Linked DNA regions of Lepisosteus oculatus. The protein of the gene in region 2 interacts with the protein of the main gene of each other region in a biochemical or structural test. Links are inferred from orthologs where the notes say so. Each region holds a gene or a part of one and is shown on either strand. Other genes may lie near its edges.

Region 1 (7,364 bases), on a different chromosome or scaffold from region 2:
CCTTAATTTTGAAGTGTTTCATAACGTCCAAACATTTAAAGTTTAGGATTCCACAGAGGGCAGCAATGAAGCTATGAGTTATGCACTGACAATGCAAGAGCCAAGACCACTCCATTCATTTTCAGACTCGGGATCCTGGCAAGACTAAGAACTTTTTGTGTGTGCAGAAATATCGCAAGTCACAACTGCAGCGAGCTCACATGTGCGTGGTAAAGAGACTTGCCAGAATGATCCAGAATGAAAAACCAAGTACTGATGAGGACAGAAACTCAGCACATGCCTTAACTCACTTATGCTGAAATTCAGGGTCAAGATAATAAACAAATGGTGATCTTCATCCTAAATAGGCTTCCTCTTAATGATGCCATTTAGTGTATTCATAATTGACTAATGAAATCCGGCTTACAGTATCGATAAATGGACATTGTATAAGATAAACACCAGTTTCCCCAATTACAAAGCTGTTGATTTCATATTCTTTACATTCTTCCATTAATTCAATTCTAACACAGCTGGGATCCTCAAACCACAAGGTACACAGACCTGCCTTATGGTGTCTTCTAGCTGGACCAAGCTTTGCAACGGAGGTGACACCAAGAACAAACACCAACTCCTATTGTGACAAGTGCACAAATATTTGATACAAACCACCTATGGTTCCATACAGGCTATGAAGGGTGCTTTGGCAGTGTGTGTAAACAGGTAGAGTGCAATCCTTGTGTTAGTAATGTTTTTCACCTTCACCAGACAGCAGTACAAAGAGAGAAACTGGCACTGGTTCTGGTGAACACCAATGTTAGCGTCCAGTGTGAATGGTGCCACAAAGCAAGAACATGCAGAACCTGTTACGATACAAATTATAATACACCCTCTACTTTCTCTTTCTCTGCGTTTTCCACCTTGCTAAATATAGTGATGCATGATGACATCTTTAGCCTGTTTTGCTAGGAGTGTTATCTAACCACATTTAAAGTTTCTAAAATAGAAGAGGCACTGTTGACATACATCAAGATAAACTAGAGGTGCTAATCTTGGATACAGCTATAGGTATACCAGTGACCACATTAAAATACTGAACTGTTTAAAAATAGAAAATAAAGCATCACACATATGACACAAGCAAGAATCCAGGGCCCCTGAAGACATTATTTGGAAAAAGGTTGCTCTATGACAGAAAACGTAACAACTGTGTCATTGCTCACTTATAAAAGAGCTATCTGTATCATAATTAAACTAAAACTAAGTCTGGAAGATCAAAATGTAAGTAAGGGCCTATATACTCTGAATATATTCTCAACATTTGTTCTGCTAGGTATGGTTCCCGGGCAATTTTTCAAATATGTGAAAAGTGGGGTCTTAACAGGCAAAGGTTACACAAGAGAAAACAAACTTTTCAAGTTTTGGCCGTAAACCTTTGCTTCTAAGTGGTTAAAATGAAAGCCCTGGGGTATCTGTGTGTCCCAGCTTGCACACACTGCTCCCCAGAGCAGCCAGTCACCGCCAGCCGCTGTCTGTTTGTACCTTATGGGTGTATACTTTATACTTAGTTCTCCTACGGGATAGAACATAGATGTTCACGTTGAGAAACGGAACAAAAAATGTATTACTCGATTTCTTTTAGAGGAAATGGCTTCAGAGTCACACACCCAGTGGATATGCAGGCGGTTCTAAGATTCACTTGGTACTTTCTTCACAAATCACATTAAAAAAAACAAACAAACATTGCGCCGAATATAAAAAGCTTCAGATCTGCACCAAGTACATCTCGGCGTGAACTGTACGAGATAAAATGAAGGTTAACGTGCTCTGCACCTCTTTAAAACTTCGGTATTTGATCATGCGCTTTCTTCCATTGTTATATGACTATTACTTAGGATCAATAGCCGAAGCTGAAGGAAAGACAATTCAATACTAGCTTTAGAACGAAGAAGTGGAAACGAAAAGGGAAGATTGAGCAGGGCGATTTCTTTAAAATATCACGATGGGACACGCTAGTGTCTACGCTTTCCACACCGAGCAGTTTACAATGCCAAGACTATAGATGACATTCGAAACTGTCTTATAGAAGTGGGGACATTTTTCTCGCTGGATTTTTAACTGTCTGTATTACTCTCTTAAAGGAGAAAGGAACAATAACTGGGTTGCAAGGGGCAGGACATGTCCAGAGCGAGCTCGGACCAGCTAACTCCGTGTACAAACATTTCGCTTGGATTAATGCAATCAATTGTATATTAGCATTTAACATCCAAATGATTGTCTAAAGCTCAACGACCATGCCTAAGTGAACAATTTATCAACGCAACATCGAGCACATCACAACAAAAACCTACGTTCTGCCTTACCCAAGATTTCCCATCTGTCACTGTCAATAGCCCGAACCGAAAAAGGAGGGGGGCAGGGGCACTGCGTATGAAAATACTCTAAATTAAAACTATCACACAAAAAAAGGCGATAAAAGGGCACAAGTCAGGAATTCAACTCGCTGGTTCTCCTTTTCAGACGAGTTTAATTCTGAATCCGGTTTATTCAATAGTCGTATACCCACCCACCCCCTTCTCCATTTCCCCAGGCGAAGTCAGAAGCCATTTGAATTAGCACTCTGATCCGAAATAGCTCGTCGTACTGATCAAGTACTGCCACTACTGAACGTTAAGGAGAAATAAAAACGTACCTTTCACGCCAACAGGCCCCAAACTCGACACTGCTCTCCAACGGATTCCGTTTCTGACGAAAACCTTCAGCGAGGACCTGAAAATGAGGGCAGCCCACTGAAAATAAAATAGCGTAGAGAAACCCTCGGACGTCAGCAGCGCCTGGTTGTGAAAGTGATAACACAAACCCAACAACAGCCCCAAAGGCCCCGATACTGTAACTGGGGGAGATCTAGTTAAATTCGCCTTTTTTCTCCTTCAACCGCCCAGTCCCCGGCTATCAACTGAGGCCGGGATTCATTTAAGGTTTCGAGAAAGGCGGAAAACCTTTCCTTTTGCCATTTGGGCCCTCGATAAAGCAGTCATTCCTGCCTCGCTTGGGCTGTTGTTTATTCAGGCGAGCTCCTCTTCGTAGCTGCGCTTGCCTGATCTGTTTTCTGCACAATCCCCCGGAGCCTCGCTTCAGCGAGGGACGCTTCACGACACTTTTCGACACTGTAGAGGCTGTTTACGGCATGCCCTTTCCTGGGCAAGGGGTCTTCGAAACATGAGGCGCTGTGCCCACTAGTGGTCGTTTGTGGCAAGTGTTTTGTACTAGAACCTATGCAAATGTAAGATAAGCGACACGATTGTATGTAAATAGAAAGCTGGTATTATATACTGAATATGGACTTCTTGAATATTTTTTGTAGGTAGATTAAATTTACGTCCGAAATAACTACATTTTCTTAATTATATAATTTACATATATAATTTTATTTGGTGACATTTTTGTAAAGCAACAATCACATTTTTGAATAGATTTTGTAAAAAGACAGTTCACATTTGGAAAATCTGTCTAATCACGTTGTCGAAGCTGGACCACTAGGACTAGGACATCTTGTATGTGTAAGCTGATAACCCAAAAAGCACGATATACCAAAAGGTGACCTTTCTTTCATAAGCCTCTTTCATTTCGATATCTCTGTAATAAGAATTTCCACTTGTTTTCGCAATTCCAAAAGCCCACACATGTTGGTACAGAAATATGCTAATGTCGACGGACAAAGGCTTTAAAAGCAAACTGTAATGGAAATTGTCTTCACAGATTTTAAAATCTTTGACTAAAATATCCAAAATAATTGTCCACTGTACATTATATAATTGTGAATGCGAAGAATTCATACACTGCTTTATGATAGAGATACAGAAGCGACACATCCGATTATCTTTATTTAATGTTGCAAGCAAGTTAATTCAGCTCTGGTTAGGCATGTTCTTTAATATTTAATATTAAAAGCATTGGGGAGACCACAAGTGTACAGTATGAATAAGTGAATTTCGACGTGAAAACAGGTGACAGATCTTTAGACAAAGAGCTGGGGATGTGCACGCTGTCACAGTATAGGACCTGATTTACAGGGGTGCTCCAGAAAAGCTAGAATATCCTCAGTACGTAGTAACCAAATTATCAAAATGTTAGAAATACCTTATTCCAATTTGGATGCTTTGTTATTAAAAAAAAACATTACACATATTTTAGTCGTTCTAAATAATCTTATTATTTTTAAACTTTTTTGTCTCACGATTTTCTAAGATCCGATTTAATAATGTTTAATTATTTTAAAAGTAAACGTCTATATAATCCGAAGAATGAGGTTGGTCTATTTTCTAGCATAACATACCTATACATTTTATTAATTATAAATCGCAAAACTGCCTAATTTATTTTCTTCCTTCTTTTCTCTAATATACTGTGTGAACACGGATTTCAGAGGTCAAAAGTGGAATAATACGTTGACAAAATTCATTTCTGAAATTCTAACCAAATCCTACAGAAAAAAAATACTTACGTCATCACGTTGTACGCGTCGTCAACATCCGGGAACTGGCGGTGTTTCCATAACCATAAACACCTTCCTTTCTCATTCAGTTTGGCAAAATGGCGTCGGCAGCCGTGGCCACTGAGATTAAGAAAATCACAGAATTACGGGTCATAGACCTTAAAACCGAGTTAAAGCGGAGGAATTTGGACATCACGGGAGTAAAGAACGTCTTAATTGCAAGGCTGAAGCAGGTAAGCCTGTATTATCAGCGGCCTTAAAATCTTGTTGTGTTTTTTTCTGCAGAGAAGGCCTTGTTTTCCCCTCCCACCATGCATACTTAGTTGCTGGATATCAAGTGTGTGGATGTTTGTCACTTTCGCTTTCCAATTTCTGTAGATATAGAAACACGGTGGAGTTTTGCAAATAATAAAAACGATACGGTCATACTCTATTGAACGACAATAAGAAAGCTTTGTGTATTCTTCATATGCGCAAAAATTGGCTGTTTTATTACTATAGAATAGACCTGTAAGTGGTAGGCGCGAATGAATTAATAGTCGTTTTCAAGTGAGATCAATAATATTGACAAAAACATTCCCCTTTTCCTTCGGATAATGTGTGGCTTTCTTAAATTTTGGAAAAACCTAAGTAAGAAGACAAACGCCCGGTTATCTCATCTAGCCAGGTTTGATTGGATGCTGGGGTGCAAATTGAGCCGAGGTACAAGTTCGTTTTAATGAACGTCCCTTTTTGTTATACGGTCGACTTCTACATAGCTTCGTTTACACTCGGTAGTGTTTTTTTTCCTGATCAACCAGGTAAAGAAATGGCGAGGTCCTTTATAATGACGGTGTGGAGGGTATACAGCTATTCTGGAGCGATTTGAGTCAAGCACGCTTAGGGAAGTCGAACCCGGGTTTTGCAATAAGGATCCCAGGACTCTCGGCGTCCATAGTCCTACATAACTGCAGATGCGTTATTTAAAGCCAGATATTCACCTTTAGGTGTTCTGTGTTGGTATGTATGACGCAGCAGTGAATGTCGTCCCTGTCCCAGATTGTGGTAAAAGAAGAAAATGGGGGTGTCATTCCTAAAGGACTGGCGAAGGTACAGCATGCAGTTACTTGATGTTACAGAAATCAAGTGTCTTGTGTTGTTCAACAATGGAGACATTATTTTGATTTGCGTATTTGAAACTGCAGATTTATTATGAGGTTTGGTTTTTAGGGAAAGACTGGTCTTATTGGTGTGAGTTGTTGCTGCCAGCTTGGCTTAATCTCTTCTCAGTATCCTCTGTGTATGCTGGTGCCTTGGCTGTTTTGAGGTGGTGTCCTGCAGTTGTTACTCGTTATCACGGAGGTCAAAGGGGTTAAAATAAATAAACTTTGTTGCCCGGCATTTGCAATAAGGAGACCCCCTTTTGCCTGTTCCTTGAAAATCCTTTTTTTAAAGGGTTGCATTGTGATTTGGTAGTGTTCTGCAGGTATTTGTGAGAGGGTGCAATTTATTCATACTGAATCATTGTCATGTTTACTTTTCAGGCTATTGAAGAGGAAGGTGGCGATTCCGATAATATCGAAATTCCACTGAACGCAGATACCCCCACAAGGAAGAATGCGAAGTCAAAAGGTAAATGGTTGTGGTTGTTGAAATCGCATCTGGCTTCTTCTTTCTACATTAAAATATTTAAATTTGAGAATCTGTTAACTTTAGAAATCAAGAAACTTGTGTGTGAAGTTCACTGAATATAATTCTTCATTTAGGAAGAAAACTGGATGCAGACATGGACGCAAACCTGGAAGAAGATTCTTATTGCAAGGTACGTATCATCACTGTTGAATTTTTTTTTAACTTTCAAATACATTGGACTGATCTTGTCGGATCTTGCATATCACAAGTTACACACAGACAAGGGTATGATCAGCAGGTGTTGGTAGAACTGTTGGCACTATTATCCCTTTGCCAGAATTTCAACATCAACTTGACTGGTCCAGCGTTCCGGTACAATCAGTTTATTCTACATTTGTGTGAGCTCACTAAATCAATATTCTTATAACCCTTTTAACCAGTTGTGATATAGCTATACCACACTCATAAAATCTAGAGGAGTAAAAGGGCTGTTAGTGGTTGTTTGCTTTGACTAGATGTGAGGGTGAATTATATCTGTTAAAGAAGATTACTTATAATGGTCATAATTGACTCTCCGCTTAATAGATTTTGGATTTAACAGACAAACTGCTAAAGGGAGTTTTGCAAAATCAAGAATATGGAACTTTCCCCGCAATAATGTAAAACTGTAGTGAGTTCAGCCGACATGCTTGGTTTATTCTTATAACTAGAAAAAAATAGAAAACATGAAAGTACAAATGCGTTGTAAAATCTGTTTAATGTAAAATACTGTTAAAGTACATATGCAGAACAAAGATTTCATCACAGACATTGAATAAAAGTCTATTTTATTACAGTGCAATACTTTATTCATGTACGAAAAACCAATGTACTACCAATGTGTATTCCCACAAGGAGAACTAGAATGCGATGAATGTGTAAGTGGTCTCGGTAAAATGCAAAAATAGTAAAACAAAAACTTTTGTACGACATACATAGGTTTTTATATAGGTTTAAAGGGTATGAATACCAGTACTTTGGTAAGCCTTTTTGGGGTATGTGAATTCCTTATGAAGTGGGCTGTGCCTTGTATGCATCCTCAAAATTTTGAAAAAAACATTTTAAATAAATATATTAAAATGTTAACAATATGTAAAGAAAAGGTATGTAGAATACAAAAAAAAACAAAATACTTAATAGTTTTGTAATTCAGCAATATCAATGGTGCCCTATAGGGGTAGGTCATTAGTGTATGATGGGTGTGTTTCATATGCATTAGTGAACATCATACAGTATATGT
Region 2 (7,367 bases):
TACCACCCTGCAGTGGACGTCCCCTACGAACACACCCAGGTACACCCTGCAGGACATCACCTTCATCATAATAGCAAATCGCGTTACAGGCAGATTGCAACAGAAGGTTTTCAGATCCAGTCAGAGCACCAGCTTGGTGTTTTTCTAGGTGCATTTGTGTCTTATGCACTTACTGTAGGACAGCACCATATCTGATCACCTTCCACCACAATATCAAGACCCACATTGTAGCATTTACTTTTAGATCGTATTCCTTACTGTTGTGATTTCTGTCTTGATTGATTATGCTGATTGATATTTTTCTTCTAAAGTTAATTGACAGTTTTGAATGTAACCTTGTATACAGCTGACGGTTAAATTAAGTAACATCATCAAGTGAGTGAATTCTATTTAAGCACCGTATCACCTTTGGCGCGAGGTCGCTTTTGGTAGTGGATCTTACCATGGTCCTAGGTTTGCGGGTGCCTGTCATGTCATTTGGTTTTGTTAAATTTTCTTGCATCGGGTGGTAAGCTCATTTCAATTATAGAACATTTCCAGGCATGACTTAAATTTGGTATTAAATTTAAATTTAAAATTAATAGCACCCCAGAGTCATGCAATGCAAAGTGCAGCTTCTTGCAATCTGCTGATGCCCAGTCTTCAGCATTAGAAGGCCGGTACCACAGGAAGCAGCTCTAGTAGTGAAAGTGAAACGTGGTCTCTCACTCCTTTCCTGAGATCATTGTTCTGGGGCTGGTCTGCGAGTTACCAGTTTTAGCCAGGGTGGAAAAGAAATGCTCCTTGTAAATTGTAATGCACAACTATGGCCTGTTGGAACGTTATTTTGCAACATTAGCTTCTTCTCAACACTTATGGAATGGAATCTAGATTAAAATCATTTGGGAAATGGCCGCACTGTTGCATTTGTTTGTCTAGAGCACGATGTGTGTCTAGCTCTTTTTCTTTAAATAAGAACGGGTTGTGAAAATGAATACCTCCCAGTGCAATTTAAGCGAATTTTGCTCTTCACAAAACGTCATTGTTTATTATTCCTGGTCTAGCCTATCCCTCAACCAGACCCCCTGAACAGACCTGAGGAAACACATGATCAGGTTCTGAAGGCTCACTTGAATAAAGAAGTTTTGCGAAATAAACAGGCGCCCACCATTGAAGAGCTGAGCAAGATGTTCTACACCACTAAACACCGCTGGTACCCAGTAGGACAGTAAGTACAATATCCTGTAAAGGCCTGAAAAGAATTGCACACTGTTTTAGTTTTTTATTGCTGTGTGCTGTTAGTGTGATATGCTGGTTGCAGAATTAAGGTTAAAATGTACAGTATGCAACAAAGTAGATCATAGTAGATCACAACCTATACATCTGTATGCCTTATGGGGGTGTGGCAATTTCTGATAAATTACATGACGTAATTGCATGTCAGTATAATACTATATTTTTTGTTTTTATATACTATTAATTTTTACACAAAAGATAATCTCTAATGTAGGCTCCCATATTTTTCAGAGTTATTTTAATTTTTATATATAGAATTATTTATTTCTTCCAGTTAATAAAGTACACAGAACTACACATTTAAGTATTGTGTTTTTTGCGTCTGCCTGTGGTATGAAAATTTGAGTAGAAAAATTGTGTGGCAGTCCAACCTTTTTATTTGAAGGGCCCAGTTCCACAAAATGTATATTTTAACTTGGATGGAGAAAGTGATAAAATAGACCTATTCCTCAAATTTGTTTTTAACTCAGTTCAGTCAGATTAAGTGATTTACTTTGATGGATTAATTCTGACAAACAGATTCATGGTGTAGCTGCTGAGTGAGATATTGCACAGAGACCAATTTCTGAAATTTATTTTTATTTCCTCTCAGGTACCACAGGCGACGTAAAAAGACTGACCCTCCCAGAGACAGATAGTCTTGAACACAGCTGACATTCAAGAAATGGTGACATTGTGCTGTCTGTGAAGATGTTTGAAGTCCTCGAATAAAAACTGCAGTTCTAATTGCTTTACTGTATGTTTTGCAAATGATTTTGAGTGCTGTCCTGAAGATCCTTTGAAAATATGTCCATTCTCTAGGTCATGAAAGTAACAAGAACATTCATTTGACACTCATTTAACAGCTGTTAAAAGGCACACAACATTGGAACCACAAACAATGAAGCTAGGATATTTTAAAATATTATAAGGAAACTTATAATTTCCTTCTAATTCTTCTGTAATATACTGTACATAACATGGAATTAGTACTACTGACCTTCTTTGAACTATTATTATTTCTCATTCCTGTGCAAAATCCTATTTTAGATACGAAATGAATGGAATACCTCAAGTTATGAGCCACCTCTTGTTATGATGACATATGTGAATTCAGAAAAATATCTGATCACTTTCCAAAGCAACTTACGTGATTTTTTGTGAAATGTGTGACTGCAGTTCAGTGAGATCTCACAAAGTGGTAGTAAATGATTACCAACACGTGCTTATACATAAATGACTTGGCTGAGCTCTGCAATGTGATTCTTTACTACACAATGGTGGATTGTTTATTTATTTTATATATATATGTAGCAGTGGTTAGAGGTCTAGATGGTGAAATTCACATTGTAGCTTCAAATATGATTCAAGACACTGCTGTTGGACTATTTATTAAGCTGTTTCACCCAAAATACTTCAGTTTTATACTCTGCTGTATGAATGGATACATGTGCAAGTCATTTTAGATTAAAGGCAGCCAAGTAAATATTTATCTGATCCCTCCTTTAAATACGTACACTGGCCAAAATACTGATTTTCCTGATTTGATCTGACTGGTTCAAGTGCACTTCAAGTTCAATGAGCTGTTACAAAATTGTTGTGGTTGTCTGAAAGATTTAAGCTTAAGATATATATGGTTTAGTTAATTGTAAGCATCTACAGTCTTTCTGTCCCTCAGCATCACAGTGTATAGCCTACTCAGGCAGTGCAATATAGTTGCTATATACTTGAAAAACACCAAAATCGTTCCTTGACAGCATATAAATAACATGCCAATCGAATTAAGAGTACTTAAGTTTTAGACATTTGACCAAAAAAAAGGTCTAGAAGAGAAATCTGAGAATTCCTTACCCCCATCTGAAAAAATTGCGAGATATACTTGCTCTGAAACTGTTTTTGTTTACAGGAGCCAAAGTATTGGTGGCAGTCTCTCGCAGATAAAACTAGAAAACTTCTGAGAGGATAAGTGCACTTTATAAAATGTTCAGAGGAGAATGGCATGCGGTTGAGAAAAGGAATGTAAGGACAGTGTGACCGGGTGAAGAAAGGATTTTAGAAATGTCAGGAGAGAGATGGAAATGAAAAATGGAATTGAGGCTGAATGTAAATGTTTATTTTTCTAGCATGACAACAGAAAATTAACTGGCTCTGAGGGAACGGAAAGTTTTAAATGAGGGAAGAGAAAAGGCTGATGTATTAAAGGAATATTTAAGTCGAGGAATTTTAGTCTTTTAAGTGGAAGCACTTTAAAAAAATCTCTTTTACCCACTGTACTCAAGAAGAAACACAAGCTGATATTTGCAGGCCATCAACAAAACTTAAGTCCATCTCTCAAGGGTCATACTTATTTTATAACCCCCATCCATTAAAAGGAAGAAAGACATAATGTGATAAAACTGTACATAGGTTCAAATAATTACCTAATAATTACTGCCAAATATATACATATGATGAAAAACTGATTAAAAATGAAAAAATATTTCTATATGAAGCCAGTTTACAAACTAGTTCAAGTAGGTAGCTGCGTCAGCTGCAAAGAAATAAAGGTTTATTCCATGCTGAGAAGAGAAGGAGACACAACGTTGCGTTTTATATTATTATTTAATGTAAATAATATTAATTATATTATTTATATTAATTATTAATTATATTATTTATATTAAGATTATGATCTAGCAGATATTTTGTGCTGCAATTATATTCCTTATAAGGAATAATATTCTGTATTATTCCTTATATGCCGTGGCTGTAGTGGTAACTATAAAACTGCCTTTTTGCGGGGAAATTCTAAGACGTCAACATAAGTGATGAATATTAGCTTTCACATCACAGAAGTCCTCTAAACGTCAGTTATTGATGTGCATTTTGGGTCCGTTTAATGCATTATATGGTAGTTAACAGTTGTAGCTCGGCGTGGAGTACGGGAGTGATCCACCTAGGCGTCTGTCGGGACGTGTAGTTCATTTCATTTGACGTCTCCCGGCGTGTACGTAGCCGCTCAGCCCCCGGACAACTACATTACCCGGCATGCATGCGGGGAGGCAGTGCTGGCATTCACCGGAAGAGCCGTGCGACTGCGCCCTAGCGCCGTGAATGCAAGTGAGAGGAGAAGCAGCGAGAGAGTCAGAGCTGAAACCGCATTACGACAAGATGGCAGGACTGCCCCGCAGGATCATCAAGGTAAGCCGCTACAGCTTTCTGCACTAAACCGTAGCGTACTGGCAGCTCTCTTGCCCCAAGGGGGGACGGGAAAATAGTGAGCAAGCGGCTCCCGCACGGCTAAGTAGTCTTGCAATACGAGTATTTTCCCCGGCTACTTCCGCTTATTCTCTGCTCCAAGCCCGAGTGCCCGACTGAGGCTGGGTTAAAAATACCTCCTCCCTGGTTAAAGATGGCGGAGAATCGGGGCCCTTGTCGTCTTACGAAGGACTGTTGGCGGTTTAAAATGAGCGGAACCGGGTTTTTTTTCTCGCAGCAGCAGATCAGACCTCCCACTCCCCGCTCCCCGAGCCGTGCAGGCAAGCGCCATGTGTAGGCCATCTGAAAATGTCATCGAGAGCTGCCGTGGAAAAAGAGAGGCGGGGGGGTGGGTGACTTGAGCAGCCGTTTAGCAGTCGGGCGTGGAGGGGTATTTGATCTGATCGCGCCCCGAGATGTTTGCCAGCCGCTCCCGGCGGGTCGTGTTTGCAATCGGGAGGGGAGGGAGGCGGAAGAGGGGACAGGCCGGCGCTCGGGTCCCGCTCCTCCGCCTGCGCAGGGCTTCCCCTCCAGGGCTAAGGCCTCGGTCATGGGCGGGATCTCGCCGCGCAGGGCCCATAGAAATGAATGAGATGGGAGAAGCGAGTTTTCGGAGATGGGTGTGAGGGGAGGGCAGGGCAGGGCGGGGGTCAGCACGCCGCGGCTGCCGGTGCTGGGAGGACATTTCGCCCGGGCCTTGCCGATCCGAGCTGCTTCGTGACGATCTTTATCGTCGCGGCCTTTTGTTGGAGGCACTGCCGTGACGCTTGTGGCGAAAAAAAAAAAGGGTGGGGGTGAAATGACGCTAGCGCCTACCCGAATCGGGTCTGGTGCCGCATCAGGATGGTTTAGCTAGTGGGTAGTGGGTGCAGCGCGCTGGAGAAGCGTCTAAGAATGCCCCTCTAGCGACGTGAATTTCAGCACCGTGTAGAGCACTCCTACGTTTCATCTGGTAGAAAGACGTGGGTGTTAAAAAAACGCAGCAGGACCCCTATAGCTGCCGAGGAACGTTTCATTTTAATTTCTCGAGGAGGGTGTTCAGCTCGCCTCGGCCCGTCCAGGCGGTCTGGTTGCTGCTAGCAAATTAATCCGGGGCTTTCGGACCTGTTGTTGGAAGAACAAGCAGCTCCTTTTAATCAGGGCTGAGAGTAATTCGTTTTCTTTTTCAGATTTAAAAGCCCTTCACATGCGCATAAAGCACTGAACTCTGTAGCTGTAGACGAAATTCTAATGTGTGCGGTCTCTTCATGGGTACTAGCAGGTGATCATGGGTTTCATATAAAATCTTCCATCATAACACAATTCCAGGAAGTGAGGCAGCAAATGCAGTTCAGTTTCTCTCTCGTTGTAAATAGTTCATTGTCCCCAACAGTGCCAGTATGCTTAATAATGTGAAACCTGGATTTGTTTTATACTATTCAGCTCTTGTGCAATTGGTATTCTGCTACCGCATCGAAGAGTGCTCAGTGAAAAGCTGGTTGTGTTGGCAGATTTGTAAGCGTTGCGTTTGCTTATTGAGGCACGTAGTGATTGTTTTTTTTTAGGTCTGGCAGAGTGAGGAGGTGTGGTTTTGTTGACTTAGCCCTTGTAGATGGCATCAGTTGTCTCTTCCTGTGTAGAATGGAATACGTGTACAGAAAACCTAACTCCTTCACAATTATCTTCACTTTGAGTTCCATTTATCCCACTGCGTTATCTGATGCAGGGTCACACGGACGCCAGAACCATCTCCCGGAGTAAATTAAGGGAAATGGTGTTTCTTAGATGCTGAGTTGCATGACTTTCTGTGCTGTTCTGCTGAAGGAAATTATATTTGCAGATCTGACAATCACGCAATGTGTGCTTGCTGGTTAGAGCCAATTCACAGTGGAACTAACTGAATATCACCGTAAGACCATTTCATTACAGAAAGCCTTGAGGTATAGTTTTGGATTAAAGGGAGTTAAATCCAGGAAAGGTGAAAAATCCGGGCTAGGTAATGTTTACTCCCTTAAATACTTAATTTTAACTTGCATTTAGAAACCACAGAAGGTTCTGGATTTTATATTGAATTAGAATAGAAAATCTGAGACAAGGCTTGAAATCTGTTATTGTGGTATGTGAATCACTGCCTCTTTGTGTTGAAAATGACTGATGTACAGCAGTTAAGCACTGCAGTGCTCTTTAGTGCAGAGAGGGCTTACAGATTCTTGTGCAATGCATTTAATGAAATGTGTTGGCTGATCATGAAGTACAGGTTTTTACTGTGCAACATCCCTACTTGGTGTGAGTCGCTATTAGTTGTTGGGGTCTTTAATTTTATTCCTAAATAACTCCAAAAAAGGTGTGAGACCAGGTGCATTGGGAGGCAGGTAGAATGATTCTACAGCATCATAGTGAGGGAGTGTCCCTAAGCATGAGATTTTTTAAAGTTGTTTGAAGTATTTTGTGTCTTTTTTGGGAAATTTTTTTACATATTTTTGTGATGTCCGCCCACCCGATTTGCAATTGACAGTTGTGCTTTCAAGTCTCAGCTTACAGCTATGAGCCTTGCAGCCATACCCAAGAATGAGGAAATGCTGCCAGACTCCCACAGCCCACCTGCTTTCAAGCTGTTCATATTTTTACACCTCGCAGGCTATGCAGCCTCGTTCAGGAAGTTCAGCATTGGTTGGAGGAGAGGTGCACCCCTCTATGACATCACTTCCGATCTGCAGGTGCCCAGGAGGTTCACAGAGGTCACTTTGAGCTGAGAGAGTCCTGGCCTGACTAACTCCCACCATATCTCTGGCACCTCTTGGCCAGTTTAGCACTGGGCTAGTGACATGACCCAGGTTGGAACAAGTGGCGCTCGGATTGTAGCATCCTGCCTGCACGCAGAGAGTGGTTGAGTCACT
Region 3 (7,874 bases), on a different chromosome or scaffold from region 2:
ATGTCCTACACTTGACCAACGGCTGACCTACCGATGTCCTACGCCTGACCAACGGCTGTCCTACCGATGTCCTACGCCTGACCAACGGCTGTCCTACCGATGTCCTACTCCTGGCCAATGTCTGGCCAACGGCTGTCCTACCGATGTCCTACACTTGACCAACGGCTGTCCTACCGATGTCCTACGCCTGGCCAACGGCTGACCTACCGATGTCCTACGCTTGACCAACGGCTGTCCTACCGATGTCCTACGTCTGGCCAACGGCTGTCCTACCGATGTCCTACACTTGACCAACGGCTGTCCTACCGATGTCCTACGCTTGACCAACGGCTGTCCTACCGATGTCCTACTCCTGGCCAATGTCTGGCCAACGGCTGTCCTACCGATGTCCTACACTTGACCAACGGCTGTCCTACCGATGTCCTACGTCTGGCCAACGGCTGTCCTACCGATGTCCTACACTTGACCAACGGCTGTCCTACCGATGTCCTACGCCTGGCCAACGGCTGACCTACCGATGTCCTACGCTTGACCAACGGCTGTCCTACCGATGTCCTACGTCTGGCCAACGGCTGTCCTACCGATGTCCTACACTTGACCAACGGCTGTCCTACCGATGTCCTACGCTTGACCAACGGCTGTCCTACCGATGTCCTACGCTTGACCAACGGCTGTCCTACCGATGTCCTACTCCTGGCCAACGTCTGTCCTACCGATGTCCTACACTTGACCAACGGCTGTCCTACCGATGTCCTACTCCTGGCCAACGTCTGGCCAACGGCTGTCCTACCGATGTCCTACACTTGACCAACGGCTGTCCTACCGATGTCCTACGCTTGACCAACGGCTGTCCTACCGATGTCCTACGCCTGGCCAACGGCTGACCTACCGATGTCCTACGCCTGGCCAACGGCTGACCTACCGATGTCCTACACTTGACCAACGGCTGTCCTACCGATGTCCTACGCTTGACCAACGGCTGTCCTACCGATGTCCTACTCCTGGCCAACGTCTGGCCAACGGCTGTCCTACCGATGTCCTACTCCTGGCCAACGTCTGGCCAACGGCTGTCCTACCGATGTCCTACACTTGACCAACGGCTGTCCTACCGATGTCCTATGCCTGGCCAACGGCTGACCTACCGATGTCCTACGCTTGACCAACGGCTGTCCTACCGATGTCCTACACCTGGCCAATGGCTGTCCTACGGCTGACCAGTGGCTGTCCTACGGCTGTCCTGTACTGAGCACTAACTCTGCAGGGAGACTGGAGCACGGGCTCCATCCTCCCTGCCTCCTCAATCCCTGTTCCCTGCAGCTGCCCGGACCAGCCCGGCCCGAGCACTGACCACGCCGAACACACCGAGCACGCCAAGCGCACGGAGCTCACGCCACCCAGCTGGCCGGGCCCCAAGGGAAACTCCGTATCCCAAGAATATCCCACCTCAGAGGCACACCGCTTGATCCTTCCCAAAACAGATCCCAGGGGATCGCAGCAGATTCCAAAGGGGCCCCGTGGCGGGCGGACTCACCTCCTGCTGGATACGGTCCTGCTGGGCCATGATGGCCTCGTCGTAGGCCAGGCAGTTCACTCCTGCGGACACAAAGAGTGAGAGACGGGGTCACTTCTGACAGACCCACTGACCCACTGACCCCGAGACACCCGTCCACTGCCCCAGAGACATCTATCTACTGACCCACTGACCCCGACACACCTGTCCACTGACCCACTGATCCAGAGACATCTATCTACTGACCCACTGACCCCGACACACCTGTCCACTGACCCCGAGACATCTATCTACTGACCCACTGACCCCGAGACACCTGTCCACTGACCCCGAGACATCTATCTACTGACCCACTGACCCCGAGACACCCGTCCACTGACCCACCAACCCCGAGACATCTATCTACTGACCCACTGACCTTAAGACACCCGTCCACTGACCAACTGACCCCGAGACATCTGTCCACTGACCCCGATACCTCAGATACCTCAGTACACTTTAACCCCCAACACTGACCCCACTGGACACCCCAGTGCAAGGTGACCCTCAACACTGACCCCATTGGACACCCCAGTGCAGTGTGACCCCCAACACTGACCCCACGGGACACCCCAGTGCAGTGTGACCCTCAACACTGACCCCACGAGACACCCCAGTGCAGTGTGACCCCCAACACTGACCCCACTGGACACCCCAGTGCAGTCTGACCCCCAGCACTGACCCCACTGGACACCCCAGTGCAGTCTGACCCCCAGCACTGACCCCACTGGACACCCCAGTGCAGTCTGACCCCACTGGACAACCGAGTGCAGCGTGACCCCCCAGCACTGTCCCCACTGGACACCCCAGTGCAGTGTGACTCCCCAGCCCTGACCCCACTGGACACCCCAGTGCAGTGTGACCCCCCAGCACTGTCCCCACTGGACACCCCGGTGCAGTGTGACTCCCCAGCCCTGACCCCGCTGGACACCCCAGTGCAGTGTGACCCCCCAGCCCTGACCCCACTGGACACCCCGGTGCAGTGTGACCCCCAGCGCTGACCCCACTGGACACCCCGGTGCAGTGTGCTGGGTTCAGACGGCTGGGCTGGGGTAACTCGCTCAGTTCTCTCTCCCTCTCGGGGTTCGCGGTCGAGTGTCACTGATCGGGTCTGTCGGGTCGGCTCACAGACAAACCCCCAGTAACCCAGAGCCGCCTGATCCCCGGATCGGAGACTGTCACCCCGTCGGTCTGGCGCTCTGCCGGCCTCCCTCCCCTCCTAATGTCATCCCTCCATCTCTGTCCCCCTTCCTGTCTTTCTTCTCCGGTTTCCATGTAAACGGCAGCCCCCCCTCCATCTTTCAGACCGGAGATTCGCGGCCTGCTGCCCCGTTCAGTCCCCGGCCTCGGGTTTCACCGCTGGGCCGTCTGAGCGGAGCTCCGCGTCGGGGGCTGCAGAGAGCCGGCCGGCCGTTCCCGTCCCCGTTTTCGCCCGTTTCTTACCTTCCATCTCTCCCTGCGTCGCTTCCTGCTGCTCCTCCGCCATCTTTCCTCTCCGGTCCTGTTTGTCTGACCCCCCTCCCCCCGGCGTCTCGCTCTTCTCCAACAGCTTCCGGGTCAGGCTGCTGGGGATCGCTCGGGGATGACGTCACCGGGGTTTGCATGGCGATAGCTCACGGCTGTATTGTGCCGCTTGAAACCTCTTCTCCTTCGCTTGTATTATCTGATGTTCAATAAAACTGAAAAAGAAAACGGTCGTCTATACTATCGCGCAAACATAGCTTTTACCTAGTATCCCTCGACAGCTTCGAGTGGACAAATACTGAGTTAAACGGGTTGAAGCATCGATTGGTAGGGAATGAGACAGGAATGGTGTAAATCTCAGTTGGACAGTTTGCTTAATCTCCCGGTGCAGGGCAGTGTGAACCCAAACACAGGGCCGAGGTGAGTAAAAACAGCGGTTTCCTCTGAGCGATGACGCACTGTGTGAGAGTGTGTGGTGCTTCTGAACTGAACCAGCCCCGTGAGGGGCTGCAGAGAAACAGGAGTGTTCTGCAGGGATTCTGTGAGGGATTCCTGCTCAGAGCTGTCCAGTGCTGGAGGGTCAGTGTGTCTAGGACAGGGGAGGTGTGACCCACACTGCCCTTCCAAGACTGGGACTGGACAGCTCTGTTCTAGACACTGACCCTCCAGGACTGGACCGGCCAGCTCTGTTCTTAACACACTGACTCTCCAGGACTGGACAGCTCTGTTCTAGACACACTGACCCTTCAGGACTGCACAGCTCTGTTCTGAAGACACACTGACCCTCCAGGACTGGACAGCTCTGTTCTAGACACACTGACCCTCCAGGACTGCACAGCCTTGTTCTAGACACACTGACCCTCCAGGACCGCACAGCCCTGTTCTAGACACACTGACCCTCCAGGACCGCACAGCCCTGTTCTGGACACACTGACCCTCCAGGACTGGACTGGACAGCCCTGTTCTAGACACACTGACCCTCCAGGACCGCACAGCCCTGTTCTAGACACACTGACCCTCCAGGACCGGACAGCCCTGTTCTAGACACACTGACCCTCCAGGACCGGACAGCCCTGTTCTAGAGACACTGACCCTCCAGGACCGGACAGCCCTGTTCTAGACACACTGACCCTCCAGGACCGCACAGCTCTGTTCTAGACACACTGACCCTCCAGGACCGCACAGCTCTGTTCTAGACACACTGACCCTCCAGGACCGCACAGCCCTGTTCTAGACACACTGACCCTCCAGGACCGGACAGCCCTGTTCTAGACACACTGACCCTCCAGGACCGCACAGCCCTGTTCTAGACACACTGACCCTCCAGGACCGCACAGCCCCAGTTTAAAGGAACTTCCAAACCGCTGATGAAGCAAGCAGATGCCTGTTGCAGCTGCTGTCCAGTGAGGCTGTGTTCACTCTGAAGGGCCAGGCAGCCAGGCCTGTGTCCCAGCACACCCCACAGTGGAGTGGGGCAGGACAGGCGGACGGCGCCCTCCGGGGGGAAACAAGGACAGGAGGGAAGTTTAAATAGCTTTTATTGTAACATACTCGTCAGAGGGCAAAAAAAACAAAACATCACAACAACAACAACAACGTGGAGGCAGCGAGCGCCGGGCGGCTCCTGGGAGACCCGCGGACGGGGGCAGAGGAAGGAGGGGAGCGCTGGTCCCTGGGGGTCCGCGGCGGTCCGGTCCAGTCCGGCCCGGCCCGGGGCTCTCTCAGTCCCTCTTCTTGTAGTCCTCCATGTGGGACAGGATCCAGCCGGAGGGGCCCAGGATGGCGAGCGAGAACGCAAACATCCCGATGGCCGTTTCCTGGAAGGGAGCAGAGAAGCCGAGGGGGATCAGGGAAGGAAAGGGAAGGGTGACCCCCCCCGCCGTGTTCCGAGGAGAGGCGTGTGCCCACAGGTCACAGGTCACAGGTCACAGGTCACAGGTCACAGACCGCACAATGGTGGTCAAAGCACAGTGAGAAGCTGGAGATCCCTGGCTGCGCTCCACGGACTAGAAGCTAATTCCTAAAGCCAGGCTCTGCCACAAAACTAGGAATCAGGCATCAGCCGGCAATTCAGAGCCAGGGAGGTGAATAAAGATCAGGGCCTAGAGTCGGGATTCCCCGGAGCTGCAGGAGGTTTCCCTGCCGGCCTTCAGCCATCACCTGTCAGAGTGAGCGCCAGCAGGCCGGGGACTACTCCGGCCGGGACCCCTTCCGACAGCCCTGAGGTTCGGCGCTGATTCGTAAGAAGTTAGTGGGCGGAAGAGCGCGTCTCCATTCCGGCCGAAGCCGACAGGAGTCGGTTTTCCCCACAGCAGAGGAAGGGGGTTATTTAAAGGCGGCCGGTTACATCACACCTGCGCTGATAAACCGTCTCGATCTGCCCTGACCCCCTTTCTAACCATATTACTTATTACTTACTACCTATTTAGGGAGATGGCCGTGTGCGTATTAAAAACCAAGACTGCACGTTATCCCGACAGCTAAACCCGCCACCCGAATCAACGACCTCCAGCCGGACACACCGTGACCTTCCCGCATCACACGGCAAAACAGGAAGAAGGACCAAATTCACAACTACGGCTGATAACTGAGCGTCATGAACTGTTTACTTCTCGCACCACGTCGACCTCCGGGCGATTACAAGTAGGCCCCTGGCACATCCCCGGCCTCGGGTGCGCTCTCCGCCCGGGCTGCGACACCCTCCGGATCCCGGGCCAGCGCCCAGACTCACTCCCGAACACTTACAACGGTGCCGATCGCCTCCTTGGGCGGCTTTGTGTAAATACTAGCCCGCTGGGCGATGGCTGGTCCCCGCAGGGCCGAGCGGGCGGTCAGGACACCTCGCAGGAGTGCAGACATCGCTGTTCCAGTGCTCAAGTCGTAAAACCTGCAGCCGTCAGTTCCTAGCGGAAGGCAATAAGAGTCGTCACGGGAATATGACGTCGACGGCGCGGCCTTCAGGACCGGGGATGTTGGGAATTGTAGTCTTTTGGGTGGGGGTGTCTTATTTATCGACACTCCAGCTTGTAGAAAACCCTCCCACCCCCAAAATAAAACTCGCCGAGGCCCACAGTCAGCCAGAGCTGGCAACCCTACCTCTGGAACGTGCTTCCTTGGAAAGACACCCCCTTCAGTCGGGTGAAGGGAAAAATCCTGCACGTTTCTATACATACTGGTTAGAGGAAATTAAATCTTTAGAATACCTTTCTGAATCCGGCACTATTTTTATTTCATACAGCAGTGCTGTACCTGTAAATAATCTCAAAACCACCAAGCAAAAGCAGACTGAGTTTTAGCCAGAGGGTATGTGCTAGATTATTGAAATTATTTATTTAGGATTTGAAAACATGAGGCAGGAAAAAGACACACCAGGCAAGACAAGGGCAAGTGAGCAACATCCCTTTCCAGGCTTTCTTGAAGGGTCACCGTACAGAGCTGTTCCCTCCCCCTGGGATACATCTTCACCCCTCTCTGTGCTTCAGACAGGTGATGTCCTCTTTACTTAGATCCTGTTTCTCTGTATCTGTATGTGGTCTGACCGATACACAGGCGCTGTGTGGACACGCGGACACACTGAGGCGCACTCAGACTCAGAGACGCACTCATCCGCTGACACGCTGAAGCACACCGGCTCGTTGAACCCCGGGGGTCAGCCCAGGTGACCGCGCCAGACTCGGCGGAGCAGCAGAGACGTGCTGCCGGACGGTCGAAACTGGACGTGCGTTCATTTAGGACGGAGAACAGGAAGCAGTTCTTTACACAAAGGAGAGTTGTGGGTGTCTGGAGCAGGTGGTTGAGGTGATGAACAAAATTTTAGAATGATTGCGCTACTAGACTACCAGATGAGCCACACTGGGATCAAGCCTCCTCTCGTTAGCAGCCAAAAAATTTAAAATCAATCAGCTCTCTGAGATGCTGACACCCTGAGACTCTGGGTACTGATCTAATACGCTGGCATGTGGACAAGGCGCATATATGGGATACAGACAATAAGGCGATAGGACTGGCCAATGGGAGTGTTTATAGAAGTGATGGGGTGTGGTCATTTGTGATTGGGGGCGTGGTCTCATATGGCCTCTTTCAGCAGCGAATGCTTGACCTCTTTCAGCACAAGCTCCTCCTTTTTGGGCGGAGCCTTCGCCGCCTTCTGCCCCTGCGCTCTGGAACAGGGAGAGACGCATGTTAAAATGTTAAAAAAACAGTAATTAAGTCAGCAGAAGTTTATATATTCATTTATAATTCAGTTGTCCAGAACTGTACGCTTGGACAGGAGACAACTCGTGGTTCAGGTCCAGTGTTATAAGACCAGCTGGTCCGGTGGCTCAGGTCCAGTCTTTTGGAAAAGGAGGTTCCTCTGGAGCCCGACAGCGTCAGAACAGTCCCAGCCCTCCCTGGCGCCCCTGCGTGACCCCTCACCTCTCCTCCACGTCCTGGATGGTGTCAGGCAGGGCGACTGCCAGCGTCTCGGGGAGGAAGGCGGCGATGATCCCCGAAACAACGGGGGCGCCCCCGTAGATCAGGCCGGGCAAAAAGAACCGGAACTCCCCCAGCAGCTGCACCAAGGGGGCGACCATGGCCCCCAGCCGGGCCATCATGCTCACCCACCCCATGCCATTCTGTCTGGGGAGAGGGGGCAGGAGGGAGACGGAATCAGCACCCCGTATTCCACCCTGATGGTGGGGTACAGCCCCCTGGAGGAGAGACAGCGGCACTAGAGAGAGGGGGGGGTGATAGGGGGAGGAACTGGGGTACAGCTCCCCACAGTAGAGACAGCAACACTGGAGGTGATGGGGTGATAGGGTGAAGATTTGGGGTACAGCTCCACGGTATAGAGAGGGAGAGGACTGGGGGTGACGGGGTG

Evidence for each region. The genes of interacting proteins can lie anywhere in the genome.
Region 1: the proteins of ubiquitin-conjugating enzyme E2 N (region 2) and rnf111 form a complex in vitro, tested with the Homo sapiens proteins (4 studies listed by BioGRID). The link is inferred for Lepisosteus oculatus from reciprocal best matches to the Homo sapiens genes UBE2N and RNF111.
Region 3: the proteins of ubiquitin-conjugating enzyme E2 N (region 2) and ubiquitin thioesterase OTUB1-like form a complex in vitro, tested with the Homo sapiens proteins (6 studies listed by BioGRID and IntAct, with this or other methods). The link is inferred for Lepisosteus oculatus from reciprocal best matches to the Homo sapiens genes UBE2N and OTUB1.

The regions. Positions count from the first base shown.
Region 1 is NC_090700.1:46,404,345-46,411,708, reverse strand, and holds the start of rnf111 (E3 ubiquitin-protein ligase Arkadia), read right to left. Parts: upstream 3,102-7,364; 5' UTR 2,672-3,101; intron 1-2,671. Other genes in the region: sltm (SAFB-like transcription modulator), read left to right, coding at 4,573-4,707, 5,998-6,085, 6,220-6,275. UniProt on the Homo sapiens protein: E3 ubiquitin-protein ligase. Required for mesoderm patterning during embryonic development. Acts as an enhancer of the transcriptional responses of the SMAD2/SMAD3 effectors, which are activated downstream of BMP.
Region 2 is NC_090702.1:52,389,778-52,397,144, reverse strand, and holds the start of ubiquitin-conjugating enzyme E2 N, read left to right. Parts: upstream 1-4,316; 5' UTR 4,317-4,347; coding exon 4,348-4,434; intron 4,435-7,367. Other genes in the region: mrpl42 (large ribosomal subunit protein mL42), read left to right, coding at 1-39, 1,044-1,207, 1,868-1,913. UniProt on the Homo sapiens protein: The UBE2V1-UBE2N and UBE2V2-UBE2N heterodimers catalyze the synthesis of non-canonical 'Lys-63'-linked polyubiquitin chains. This type of polyubiquitination does not lead to protein degradation by the proteasome.
Region 3 is NC_090713.1:22,664,916-22,672,789, reverse strand, and holds the start of ubiquitin thioesterase OTUB1-like, read right to left. Parts: upstream 3,102-7,874; 5' UTR 3,036-3,101; coding exon 2,993-3,035; intron 1,594-2,992; coding exon 1,532-1,593; intron 1-1,531. Other genes in the region: cytochrome c oxidase subunit 8A, mitochondrial-like, read right to left, coding at 4,735-4,830, 5,759-5,872; slc22a6l (solute carrier family 22 member 6), read right to left, coding at 7,080-7,173, 7,430-7,633. UniProt on the Homo sapiens protein: Hydrolase that can specifically remove 'Lys-48'-linked conjugated ubiquitin from proteins and plays an important regulatory role at the level of protein turnover by preventing degradation.